Linked DNA regions of Drosophila melanogaster. The protein of the gene in region 1 interacts with the protein of each later gene in a pairwise test. Each region holds a gene or a part of one and is shown in the gene's direction. Other genes may lie near its edges.

Region 1 (4,176 bases):
GCGATATAAAATGCATCCTTAGAAATTACAGAAGAAAACAATTGCAGATAAAAAAAACAGCAACAACAACAAAATGGGTGGACGAGGAAAGAGCGAAAGGCGCAAGAAAAGGAGAAACAACAATTATTGAATGAGTTGGCTACTGCTCCTTCTTCTCATTATTATTCTCCTTCATCAGCTTCTGCAGCCGCTTTGTTTTTGTTTTATGCATGTGTGTGTGGGTAAATGTGAGTGTGTCAAAATTTAGCAACAAAGAAATTTATATTAAGTCATGCTATTGACGGCAACAACAAAAAAGCCAGCTAACTTAAACTTACCATTTTGATTCTCCTGCTTACTGCTAACGGTGGTTGTTCTTGATGTTCGTCCCTCCGATGGTTCTTGTTGTTGTTGTTAACCACAAAAAAAAAATCAACAGACCGCGCACCCACGCGTTTTTCGTTCTTTTCTTGGTTTTTTTTTGTGTTTTGTTTAAAATTTATATATTAATTTCTTTTTAACAATGCGTTTTTGATGCTGTCAACGGAACAGAACAATTGTGCGGCAAGTTAGATAGCAAATGCAGCAAATATAAAAGGCTGGACTCCGCAATTTTCAGCGCGTTAGAAATGTTTTTGTTGTTGTTGTTCTTCCTGTTGTTATTGGTGTTGCGATAATGACTGCATGCGTGTGTGCATGCGTGTGTGTTGTTGTTGTTGAGTGTGTTTTTCTTTTGTTGCTGCACGCGGTATTTCGCTTCGGATAAATTTGTTCGTATGCGTTGTACCGCGCAATACACGCAAAACGAGGAATCGGAATAAAGGAGGAAGGAAACGAGAACGAGACGAGAATGAAGCGACGAAGCCGAAAACACACGTAACATGCCAACTATCGCAACTAACGAGATGCCAACTAGATAGAGCTGGAAAAACATCGATGAGAATCGATAATGGTGAAGCGAGAAAACGTCAGTTTGACGATTATTGATAAGAATGCCGATGTATACTAAAACTTATATTTGGGCACACTTATTTATAGCGTGTTTGCTCTAAAAATATTAATAGCTTAATATTACTTATAATATATATATATGGAAAATATTTTAAAAATATAGATATTTAAATGAAAACATTTTAAATTGCACAAAGGGAGACATAATAAACTTACTTGGTATTTAAACAAATCTATCGGTCTGGCACGCGGTGCACACAAGACTATCGATAAATGGCGCGCGTCTTATTTCTTTATATTTCATGATATATATCCGTTAAATTCTAATCACGTTACAACAAAGTATATGCAAGTTTAACATGGTAAATGAGAAGCGAGCTTCAGCTGTTGCATTTAAATAAATGATGCCAACTGCAATGTACATTAATGCATTTAAATATGTTTTGCCAACTTTAATGTTCAGCTAATTTGTTTATGAAACTGAAAGTAATTAGAAGACTTTCAATCTAAAAAAAGTATAGAAAAAATATATATTGACATTCAAGATATTTAAGATACTTGTGGGGTATTAATTTGCAAAATTTCTGCAAACTTCGACGCTATCGATAAGCATCGATTATTCTTTTTCTTCCACCTCTAGCACCACATGCGTGTTGTTGCTTGGGCATCAAAATTTGTCGGTAAGTCTGGTTTTCCCGCTTTCAATTTCGCAATCCGCCGACACAAGTCCCTAAAAGTCCGCCGATTTCAGACGGTCCGCGTTGCTGATTGTTATTGAGAAGATAAGGAACGAGAAGAACCGGTACTACGCCAGGAGACAGGACTCAGGATCAAAGGCTTCCACGGACACGAAAAGGAATCCACATAGCTAACGAAATGCCTAACGACACTGTGGTAAAGGTGCAGGAGTACAAGGACTCGTTGATCCTCAAGGCAGAGCTGCTAATCACCAAGGGGTTCCCGGAGAATATCGTCCGGCTGAACGAGCTGCTGGCCACGCCGATCTTCAACGAGCGCAACTTCGAAGAAGTGCACCAGGACCTCAACATCCCGGTCCTGCCGCCTCTCCTGGTTAAAAACGAGTTGGAGGATCGTGACAGTCTGCCCACCAAGCGCCAGCGCGTGGATGTCATCGTCTCTGGGCAGCCTGTCATGGGTCTGCCCGCCGGTACAGTGCCGTGCAACAAGCCGCTCTGCGAGATGATCAAGGTCGTCAAGCCTATCATCAGGAAGCTTGTGGAGGATTGTAAGTACACCGTATATTCAAGCGTCTCAACCTAATAAATGTTTTTATGCTATTCAAGAGCCCCTTCAATTTTCCTAAAACAATGAATTCCAAGAATTTTTACATTCGAACGGTACAAATGCCAGTAGCTAAAGTTTTGCCTGACATTAAGCTTTTTAATGAATACCTAGTAATTTCTGAATTGATTTCTTTTGCAGCCAATCTACTTAAGATGTGGATCTCCTTTATGATACCCAAGATCGAGGATGGCAACAACTTTGGCGTCTCCATTCAAGAGGACACGCTTGCCGAAATTCAAACTGTGGAATCCGAGGCGGCCGCCTTCTTTGACCAGATATCGCGCTATTTCTTGTCGCGCGCCAAGGTGGTGTCCAAGGTGGCCAAGTATCCGCACATCGATGATTATCGGCGCGCAGTCGTCGAACTTGACGAGAAGGAGTACCTCAGCTTGTGGCTGGTCGTTTGTGAGGTCCGCAATCGCTACTCCTCGCTGCACGACATTGTTATTAAGAACCTCGAGAAGCTAAAGAAGCCGCGCTCCTCAAATACCGAAAGCCTGTATTAGGCTAGGTATTTCCGAAGCCCGAGCCTCAACTTTTTTTTTTCCTTTCCATCATCTTACTTTTCAATCAATAATCAGCCCGTAGAGCGGACGGTCAGCAATTCTTGTCGCTACTCAAAAAGCTAAGATTTTCCAATTCGGTTTACAAACATCAAAATTCTTTAATTGAAGAGCAGTGATTGAACAATAGCTGTAGCCTAACTACCATCAACTATTAATCCATTTGTACTACGTCTAGAATGTAATGTTGAGATTGGCGTACAATACAAGAAACCGATGCTGTATAGATTCCACTAATAGCTATAGCTATGCATAAAAAGAATAGGCGAGCTCCATTGACACATTTTTTCAACATTTCCTAATGTAAATTTATAACACGGGCGCCCCTCATACGGAAAATGTCCTTAAAAATGTGTGAAATATAAATCTTTATAAGTAATTCGCTCCGAATAGGTAACACTGTGCTTGTTTTCTTGTTTTACGTATTGACTATGGGTTCTACTTTGGGGATTGATATCTATCGCAAAATCGAAACAGGCGCCCAGACATTTAATAAGGTGGAAATTATTGCATTCGATGCGGCCAATCGAAAAAGACAACCTTCTGATTTAACAGTTCAGAAAATTCTTAACGTTACTATGAATTAAAAATGCCCGCCAAAATGTCACATAGTAAATTCTTTTGCGTTCGATATTTGTTTAAAACTGGAAAAAAAAACAAGAATTAAATATTGCTTACCAAATCTACCAATTCTGTATATATGCACAATTTCTTTAAGTGTGTTTGCCAGACAGCTGCAATGCTATAGCTGCCTGCTACGGCACTTCGGTTCGAACATGTTCGCTTCAAACGCCCGCCAAACAGAAAATTCAAAACACCAAATGGTTTAAAAAAAAGGAAGTGTATATTGAATAAATCAAGAACATAATTACTATTTACAGCTAGTACTATCGAATTTATATTTACAACTAATTTAACTACATCTCGACCCCATACATACAAAAACATACATAAAAAACTAACATCTCTAGTTTTTTTCTCACAATTTTAAAAACTATCACTTAGAATAGCTGACGGAAAACAAACAAAATAAGAATATTCTTGCTGGTGTGTGCTAAATTTAGTTGCGTGGATTATTTATAGTAATGCATTAAGTTAGTGCTAATACTTTCGATTTCTTTTTTTTTTATTTAATTATTTTCTTTTGATCCTAACTCGTGTCCGGTAAATTGGACTTTCGATTCGATTTCGAGGCACTTTTAATTTGTTGTTGGCAGTGGTTAAGTATATATTCTATATTCGGAATTTTCTCGTCGTTCCCTACAACTTAGCCTGTAAGGCTTAAATCTATATATGACAATAACATTTTTCACAAAGATTATCAACGTTTTGGGCTTAGCTAAATCTTTAAATCTAAGCTCAGTACTGACATCAGCTA
Region 2 (3,664 bases), 4.7 Mb from region 1:
TGTGATCTCTCAAGATCGCGTTAAATAAAAACTTATCAAATGCACAATATTATGATAAAATGTGGTAATAAAACATAAATGATGTTGGCAATGATTAAATTTACTTCTCTATAAATCAAAAAGAACATAAAATGAGCATTTGGTTTGTATTATAAAGTCTCTAAATCTATTCGAGCGAACGATACCATATTTTCATAGTTTGCGATACTCATAAGATCACATTGGAAAACAAGTGTATGATTTCCCTTGCACACTTGCTGTCAATTGAATTGAACGTTCTGCCATTTTGCAACTTTCTTATAGAGAACATGGCCGTATCATTCCCTATTTCCGCCACTGTACTGACTGTTTTGTATTTTGTATGGTAATTGAAAACTGCGCATTCATTGATGACGGATGACGTCGCAGCTTTGACAGTGGCATTGAAAATTTCAGTTTCGCAAGCAGACTGCAGTAAACTGGTGACCAGTCGGCAGCAACAACAACAATGATAATGAATGCAGGAAGAACAAGAACAAGAAGACTACAATAACGATACTATATACCATGTATGTACATATATATATATATATATATATATAACAAAGGAACTGAATGGCCGGCATGAATTTCACTTAATAATGTGTTGCCCGAAAAACGTTTTTTTCCTCTGCATCTATGGAATTTCATCTTTCAAATAACTCATCTTGAATCTTAAATCAATTATGCGGATAGCATGTTTTCCCTGACTTTTATGCGTAATTTCAACGAAGAATTTGAATTCTCTCACGGAATAAATGTTAGTATATTCAGTGTAAATGAAAAATACGCAAATATCTATTATAGCGCTATCTATGTATCTATGAATCTGTATCTACAGATCGTTGCAATTGTTGATATTACTTCCGCCAGGTGGCGTTTTCCCCACCGCCAGTTAACTGCATTCATGGTTTCTGTTTTCCGCACACTTATTTATTTGGCCGCACTGATTAGAGACTGGAATCACAATAATAATAACCAAAACAAATGGCAGCACGTGCTTAGCATCTGGTTTGTTGTGATAAAGTGCGACTTTTCCCAGCCCACCCACACCTATGCCGCTTTCTACCCTTTCTCCGCTCGCCACACGTGCTTGCTAGTCAGCTAACCAGCTAGCTAGTTAGTCAGCTAGCCGCTAGCTAGTTAGATACTTAGTTAGCCAGCCAGTTGGCTGCGTCAGCGTCGCAATTGCGCCGCAATTGGGCACTAATGAAGTATTCTTGATACGCATTTACACTGCATTGGGCAAAGGGAGAAAGAAGGTGCGAAAGGTGAGCAAGGTGCGAAAGCTGCCAACTGAGGTGCTGATTACCCATCGCTATGGCAGCCATTTATCCTGCAGGACAATGGGAAATGGGAAAGCTGGAAAAGCGCTGGTGGAAAAGTATGGGCAACCACTCAGCTCAATTAAAAAATCGTTAAAGGGCAAACAATTGCTTTTCCGTTTCACAAATACGTTCTAGCTCTTTTAGACGGTAAGTTAAGGGGTTCCCATCATCAATTAAACTGATACTATGCGAAAGTACTAGAAAGCCAGCCAACTGTAAAGAATCGCAAAATACCCTGAAATATGTATATATTCTATGGAATATCTAGTAGTTTTGAAAGCAGCAGCCTGAGTCGCTTTCCTCAAATTCCGGATTCAAAATGTATATATTTCCACCATATACCCTGCTCCTTATCATCCTCCGCATTGTGAGTGTCCGTGCGATGAGCTTCGACCAGCCCCACAACGAACACGACGCCTCCCTGGCTAGCTATTTGGACAACACCAACGATGACATATCTCCCCAGGGCTTCAACGGCGATGGGAATGGTAGTTCGGGGGCCACAGTGGTGCCATTCCCTTATCTGGGATGCACCACAAGACCGTCCTACCAATCTGGATGTGAAAGCATGGACGAAAGCGCTAGGGACCGAGAAAAAGATCGCAATATTGATCGGGATCGAGGCCGAGATTGGGATCGAAATAGGGGTTGCGATAGAAACAGGGATCGGGACAAAGACAGGAATAATATTAGAGATAGGGACAACTGTGACTCCTGTGACGAGATTATCAATTCGCGGCTGAAGGCCACCCACATTGCCCAGAATGCCGCCCAGGTGGCCAAGGCAGCCAATGATGCACAGGCGGCCGCCGCTCAAGATGCATCGCGGCAGGCGAAGATGCAGCTGGCGGAAAAGGCCATCTCCGCTGCCCGTGCCGCCGATGCGGTGCTCGAGGGCAAACAGGCAATGGTGGACAACTACGCTAGGGAGATCCGGGATGCCGAGGAGGTGGTCGGACAGGTGAGCTGCTCGCTGCAGAACAGTGAGACGAACGTGGAGGCCTCCTGTGCCGTGGTCAAAGCAGCGGAGGTTCAAGCCGAAACATTCAGGTATAATTGATAAATATTCAATATTCAATATTGTTCACAATCCATCCAACTATCTACACAATTTAAAAGCGGAACAATTATATCGTTATATCTATCATAATATCTACCAGCGATAACATATCGATTTTTAATATCAATGCTTTTTCGATTACTAATGTTTTCAGGGCCCTCGTACAGCAGACGAGTGGCATTTTGTCGGAAATGGACAGCCTAATCGACCAGTCGAACATGGATATCGAGGAGAAGAACCAAATGCTGGCGGCGGCGAAGGCACGTGGTGACCGCCTGGCCCGCCAGGTGGCGCAAGCTAAGTCGGAGTACGAGCAGGTGAAGGAGGCGGCCTGTCGCGCCGCATCCGCCGCCGTGGAGGCCAAGCAAAAGGTCGGCACCGGCAGTTTGCTGTACAAGTCGTCGGTTCACCGCCTACCCACTGTCGCCATAAGGGCCAATGGAGCGCGCGGTTACGCACTCGACAGGAACACCTGCAATGCTCTCCTGGATCTCTACAGGCAGCGCCGACGGCAGCAACAGCGAATGCGGCGGGAGAAAATCCTGAACGGACTGGATCGCTATCAAGGGAATTCACTGTACGGGGATCACTCGTACTAACAAATGCGCTCCCTACTAACGGATGCTACGTCCACAATTCTGTTTTTCTAAACGCTGCAAATTATTTTAACTCTATTTGGATAAGAGTTTCGAGATTTTTCAACAATTTCAGTTTCACTTTTTGAGCGTAAATATGAAGTATTACCTAAATGCGAGTTGTATAATCCTTGTTTTCTTGTTAATTTATTTCCTACTTTTAAGATCGTACTAAATAGCTTGCACATATCATTACAAATCATTAATGTATTGTCAGTTATGTACATATTAAAGATCTTCCCCGTATCGAGTGACCACCGTAGCTGCTTCAATACACAATTGTTTACCAACAAATTCGCCTGACAGTGTCGTAATTCTTGCGAAATAAACAATAACAATGGGAAATGAGTGCAAGGCCAAGACGCAACGAAACACGATCGCAAAGAGGAGAAGGAGAGTGGGAGGGGGAATAGAGAAGGAGATAGTGTGGAAAAGCCATCTTGTCCAGCGGAAGAACGAATGAAAATCACAGCTGCCAATGCGAGGCTGCCAGCTGTTTGGATTTTTCCTCCTTTTCCCTTATGTATTTGTTTTTTGGAAAAATTGTGGGCGGTTGGGTGTAAAAAGTGCAACGCAAGCAGGGTTGCCACCTTTTGCGGCTCTGTTGCGTCGTTGTTTTTATT
Region 3 (5,072 bases), 9.7 Mb from region 1:
TGGCCGTTTGAATTATCCCGGTTCACTCCGGGATTACTCTCAAATGGCCCGGATTATGTCCAATGACCCAAATCGGGAGGGGATTAGAAATATGACGAAATAGGGCCCCCGGCAATATTGCATTGGAAGACAGGAAAATACATAAATATTTCGTGAAGCCAGTCTACATCGCCGTCGAAAATTCATCTGTATTTTGGTAACTTGCTTGTCCACTACACTAAGGAGTCAGAATCTGCTCGGATTAGGAGTCTTCCAGGGCAACCTCCCTTGACTCCCGTAGATTCCCTGGACACTCTGAAGACGTCGACTGCCACAATTATTTCAACGGCCGTCAACCGCTGGTGCTAGGATATATTATTCCATTAGGCTTTGTTTTGTGTAAATTATTTTGAAACGCTTACCTGAATTTGTCACTAAATCCGGTGTCAATCGCGAGTCTGAATTGTCGTCGGTGGGCCAGTGGGCCAGATGATTTTTCTAGTGGGACAAAAGTCACATTTTTAAATATTTAAATACAGTTTTTTCTTTTTTAACTGACTCTAACTGACTATCCGTCTGAGCCTATAAGAGTTAGCATAAGAGTTTTTGCTTGTTTAAACATATGTTTCAGCGCGTGGTCATTAAATATTTGGCGTAACGTTTCGTATTTGTTTATTGACCTTTAATTTAAACAAAGTAAAACAAATTCAATTAACAACTTATGTTAACTTTAGGAAATAAATGTTCGAAATAAAAATAATGTGTTTGTGACCCGCATTTTTATGTTTAGTAAAAACAAGTGTTCGAAGTTTTTATTTTACCAGGTATGGCATTACGCTTGAATTTAGCATATTTGGACTATAACTAACCTTGTTCACTCTTGTTCGAGCTGATTTAAGCATTTATGTAACGTGTGAGCCTTTGTGTCGTTGATTTTTTCAGAATTATATCCAACTTTGACCAACTGTAAAGTCTGTCAGCCCCAAAGCGTGTGCTTCATTCCAATTGGCTTAGCGAAACTGATCCCGCATACCAAAAGTAATTGGTATTTGGTACACTTTTAAAGAATCGTCAGCTTTCTGAAATATAATCTGAAAGAAAATCAACTAATTTTGACCATTTCAAAGCAGTCGACGATCTAGGGTGATCGCTGCCTAATGAGTGATTGAAGAAAAAAATAAAGAATGTAAGAGTTAATCAGTAATTATATGTATGTGTAATAAAACAAGAAAGCATACCGGAATGCTTCACCTTTGGGGAGATGGGGCTGTCCTAGTCGTTTGAAGCGACACCGACGTGTTGATAATGAGTGATGTCCGCAATAATCCTTCGTGCAACCTAGGTCGGTTGGGTGCCAGTACTTTAAGATTTTGTCGTTTATGTAAATTGAATTCGTTTTTTTTCTTCTACTTTTTTTTGCTTGTCTGCTTTTTAGAGATCATAGATATGTAGGGTCGATAGTCGATGTCGATAGTTATCGATGCCTATGTTGCAAGCTGTGTGGCACTCCGCCCTGAGAAAAGCCTGAGCTAGGGGCACTGCCACTAAAAAAAAGAAGGCAGTTCGTAACATACATATATAGGTTAAGTTAATCTGCGAATCTGCACACTTTCTTACAACTAACTTCCTATCTTTTATACTTCCTGTGAGCCCGACGTTTATACGGACAGACAGACGGACATTGTTCATTTGATCAAAATTTGATATGTCATATTAATTGCTAGTTATAATAAAGAGATCATAGTTTCGGTGCTTTTAATTATAAAGTGTTTTTACTTGGTATACAACAAATTTGTATTTAAATGTATAGTAACTGGAAGGGTATATAAACTTTGTATTACCGATGCTACCTTCCTTTTCTTGTCTGTGTATATTTAAATTATGTTGACAGGTGATAGGAATGCCTTCCCTGAATGACGATAGTTACAGCCCTGATTTCGAAGTGTTGGACAACGATTATATCCTTAATGTGGTCTGGTCTAGTGTTAAATTGCTTGAGAATTCGTTACTGCGGTGACCTAAGGTGGCAACCACAAAGCAAAAAAGTTGTTATCTATCATTGAGTGGCCTTTGCTTGGTCAGCTTTTATTTTTATGACAGTTGTCAGACCAAGTTTTTACACGCCATTACATTTTCATAAGGCAGCCGTTCCCAACGTGTGAGTAACGGAGCATCAAATCAAAATAGTTTCGAAGGCCGTCATATTTGTTCGCAGTGAAAGTGAAATCTTGTGAAAATGACCAAGGTATCAGGGACGAAGGCAAAAGACGATGGCGAGCCAGCCACTAAGCGCGAACGCAAGGAGATGCATTCGCACAAGAAAGATCGCAGGGAGCGATTGGAACGCATGGAGCGCATGGACCGCAGGGACCGCAGAGACCGCAGAGAACGCAGGGACCGCAAGGACCGCAAGGACCGCAAGGACCGCAAAGAGCCAGCCAGAGGCCCCTCCTCCCGGATGAGGAACATCTCACCAATTCACTCGAATGCTTCGGAGAGCACTGAAGCAGACTGCAGCGACTCCAGCTACTCGGACTCGAGCTACAGCACCTCTGGATCGTCCAGCTGCACAAGCTTTTTGAGCTCCACCAGCAGCAGCTACTCGTCGAGCGACAGCGAGCCAGAGCCAGAAGGATCCGTCAAAAAGTTTGAGCGCACCAAGCACTCGTGTTGCCATTACCGACACCATCGTCGCCATAGGCGCCACCAAAACCCTCGTCATTCGCACCGTCGCCGGCACGTCACCCGTTGCCATCACTCGAATCACGGACGCTTTTCCAAGCGTTTGGCTAAAAAGAGTCGTCGTGGCATATCCGCCGCCAAGGGAGCTATCACGGTTAAGGAGGAGGTTGTCGAAAAAATTTCTCCTGCTTCAGCCCCTGGGGTCATTCAGATACCGGCACCCATTCCGCTGCCCGTGCCGGCACCCATTCCGGCTGTCCTGTCTGTTTCGGAGGCACAACCGCGTTCCCACTCCCGTTCGCAATCGCACTCCCATCTCCATAGCCATTCCAGCTCCCATAACAATCCCCACCCGCAACCCGTTCCGGCCCCTGTTCCGGTACCAATTCCTGCTCCGATCGCCATGCCAACTCCTATGAGGGAGCCAAGCAGCGTGGTATTGGACCGCAAGTCTCGTAGACGCAGCTCCACCTCGCAGAACATCGCCTCGGCCGCCAGCAGTTCTATCGGCACCAACCAAGCCATCATCCAGTCTAGCACTATAACCATTACAAAGACGATTGCCAACGCCACTGGTATGGCCGAAACCAATTCAAGTGGCGGCGCTAGCATCTCCAGCACAAAAAATAAGGGGGACAGCAGTACCGGCCAATCTTCAAAGACGGTTGTCACCAATAACGCGGGCAGCAAGGCGGGTTACCAAGCCCCCAAGACTTCAGTGGCAAGCACATCTTCGAAAGCGGTGGTCAGGTCTAACGCAAGCGCCAGTTCAGGCCACGGGAACCACACCAGTTCCAGCTCGAGTTTCACCCAGCTGCACTCCAGTGCCAGGCCCTCGACAGCCAAAGATCACGACAAGAGTCCTCAGCAGAACCGCTCAGGCAGCTCAGGCCCCAAGGGCAAGTCGTCGAAGATCAACGATCCTCCACGTCGTGGCTCTTCACCGTCTGCTGGTGCAGAACCTACTCGCCAAAAACAAAGCGTTCAAAATCAAAATGGGCGGAATTGCAGCAGCCAGTGGAACCATCGGCGCGGTGAAGGGGATGGAGAAGGAGCAGAAGCAAGTGGACGGGGCTACAGAGCCGTGGGTGAGGTAAACAAAGTGGCCTACAGAAACGGAAAGGACGCCTTCAAATTTCGCCAACCCGTGCGCAATGTTCGCCTGCACATTAAGGGATTGACGCGTCAGGTGACCAAGGAGCACATAACCGAGATATTTGGTCACTTCGGCGCCCTGACGGCAGTCGACTTTCCAATGGACCGTTTCCAAGGGCGCCAGGGACGCGGATACGCCTTTGTGGAGTACTCACGTCCAGAGGACTGCGCCAGTGCCATCAAGCATATGAACGGCGGGCAGATCGATGGGAAGCTGATCAGGGTGTCCGCCTTTCAGGAAAGCATGCTAAAGGCGCCGTGGCGTCAATACCGACGTTACTCGCCAGTCAACCGGCGCCAGAGCCAGCGTACGTTGTCCCGCTCGGGCTCGTCGTCACGCTCTCGATCGCCGTCCCGCTCTGCGTCCGGCTCGGAATACGGGTCGCGGTCCTCCCACTCTCGCGTCCGCTCTATGTCGGGATCGCGCTATTCTCGGCGCAACCGTTCGCAATCGTGCTCCTACACTCGCTCATCGCCGCGCTACGGGCATTACCATCGCCCTAGACGCGATTCGCGTTCGCCCTAGATAGGCGGACCTGTCTAATGTTGCAAAAGGAAGGCGAGATTAAGCCAGACAGGATTTTCAGGACTCTGCCAGATGCCTATTTTATTCCATTCCAACTTCAAATACAAATGTAGACTTGATGGACATCGTGCGTTTTAAAAGTTACTTATTAATACCAGTCTAATTTAAAAACATTGTTGGGCTTAAAATAAATAAAAATAAAAATCCATGCTCCGCACAAAAAAGAATTGTGAGGTATATCAGAAAATAATCATCGTATGTAAGGTGGTTATCTGTTAGTAATAATATAAAAGCCCACTGCAATCAATCGATTACCAAAAGACAGGTAAATGGTATTTCGTAGAGAACGCTTAGAAAAAAAGTACCGCTATTCGATGTAAAATCAAGAACAAACCATATCGAAAGTACGGTAAGCCCAAAACTTGTATAAGGGTATAATATATATAATAGGGTATAATAGATTCGTTGAAAAGTATGTAACAGACATAAGGAAGCGTTTCCGACTATATTAAGTATATATATTCTTGATCAGGATCAATAGCCGAGTCGAGACAAGTCGTCTGTCCGTCTGTCCGTATGAACGTCGAGATCTCAGAAACTATAAAAGCTAAAAGGTTGAGATTCAGAATACAGATTGTAGAGACAAATGCGCAGTGAAAGCTTGCTGACCCGTGTTGCCACGCCCAATCGCCAACAAACCGCCCACACACTTTTTTTTGGTTTGTTCATA

The links. Proteins that work in one complex are often made in the same cells at the same time.
Region 2: the proteins of REG (region 1) and CG12985 interact in a two-hybrid assay, tested with the Drosophila melanogaster proteins (one large-scale study listed by BioGRID).
Region 3: the proteins of REG (region 1) and CG34334 interact in a two-hybrid assay, tested with the Drosophila melanogaster proteins (one large-scale study listed by BioGRID).

The regions. Positions count from the first base shown.
Region 1 is NC_004354.4:13,210,783-13,214,958, forward strand, and holds REG (proteasome regulator gamma), read left to right. Parts: upstream 1-1,542; 5' UTR 1,543-1,610; intron 1,611-1,667; 5' UTR 1,668-1,806; coding exon 1,807-2,176; intron 2,177-2,373; coding exon 2,374-2,741; 3' UTR 2,742-3,626; downstream 3,627-4,176. Other genes in the region: sno (strawberry notch), read right to left, coding at 318-320.
Region 2 is NC_004354.4:17,882,080-17,885,743, forward strand, and holds CG12985 (uncharacterized protein), read left to right. Parts: upstream 1-1,638; 5' UTR 1,639-1,728; coding exon 1,729-2,396; intron 2,397-2,560; coding exon 2,561-3,005; 3' UTR 3,006-3,159; downstream 3,160-3,664.
Region 3 is NC_004354.4:22,870,801-22,875,872, forward strand, and holds CG34334 (uncharacterized protein), read left to right. Parts: upstream 1-2,011; 5' UTR 2,012-2,215; coding exon 2,216-4,342; 3' UTR 4,343-4,567; downstream 4,568-5,072.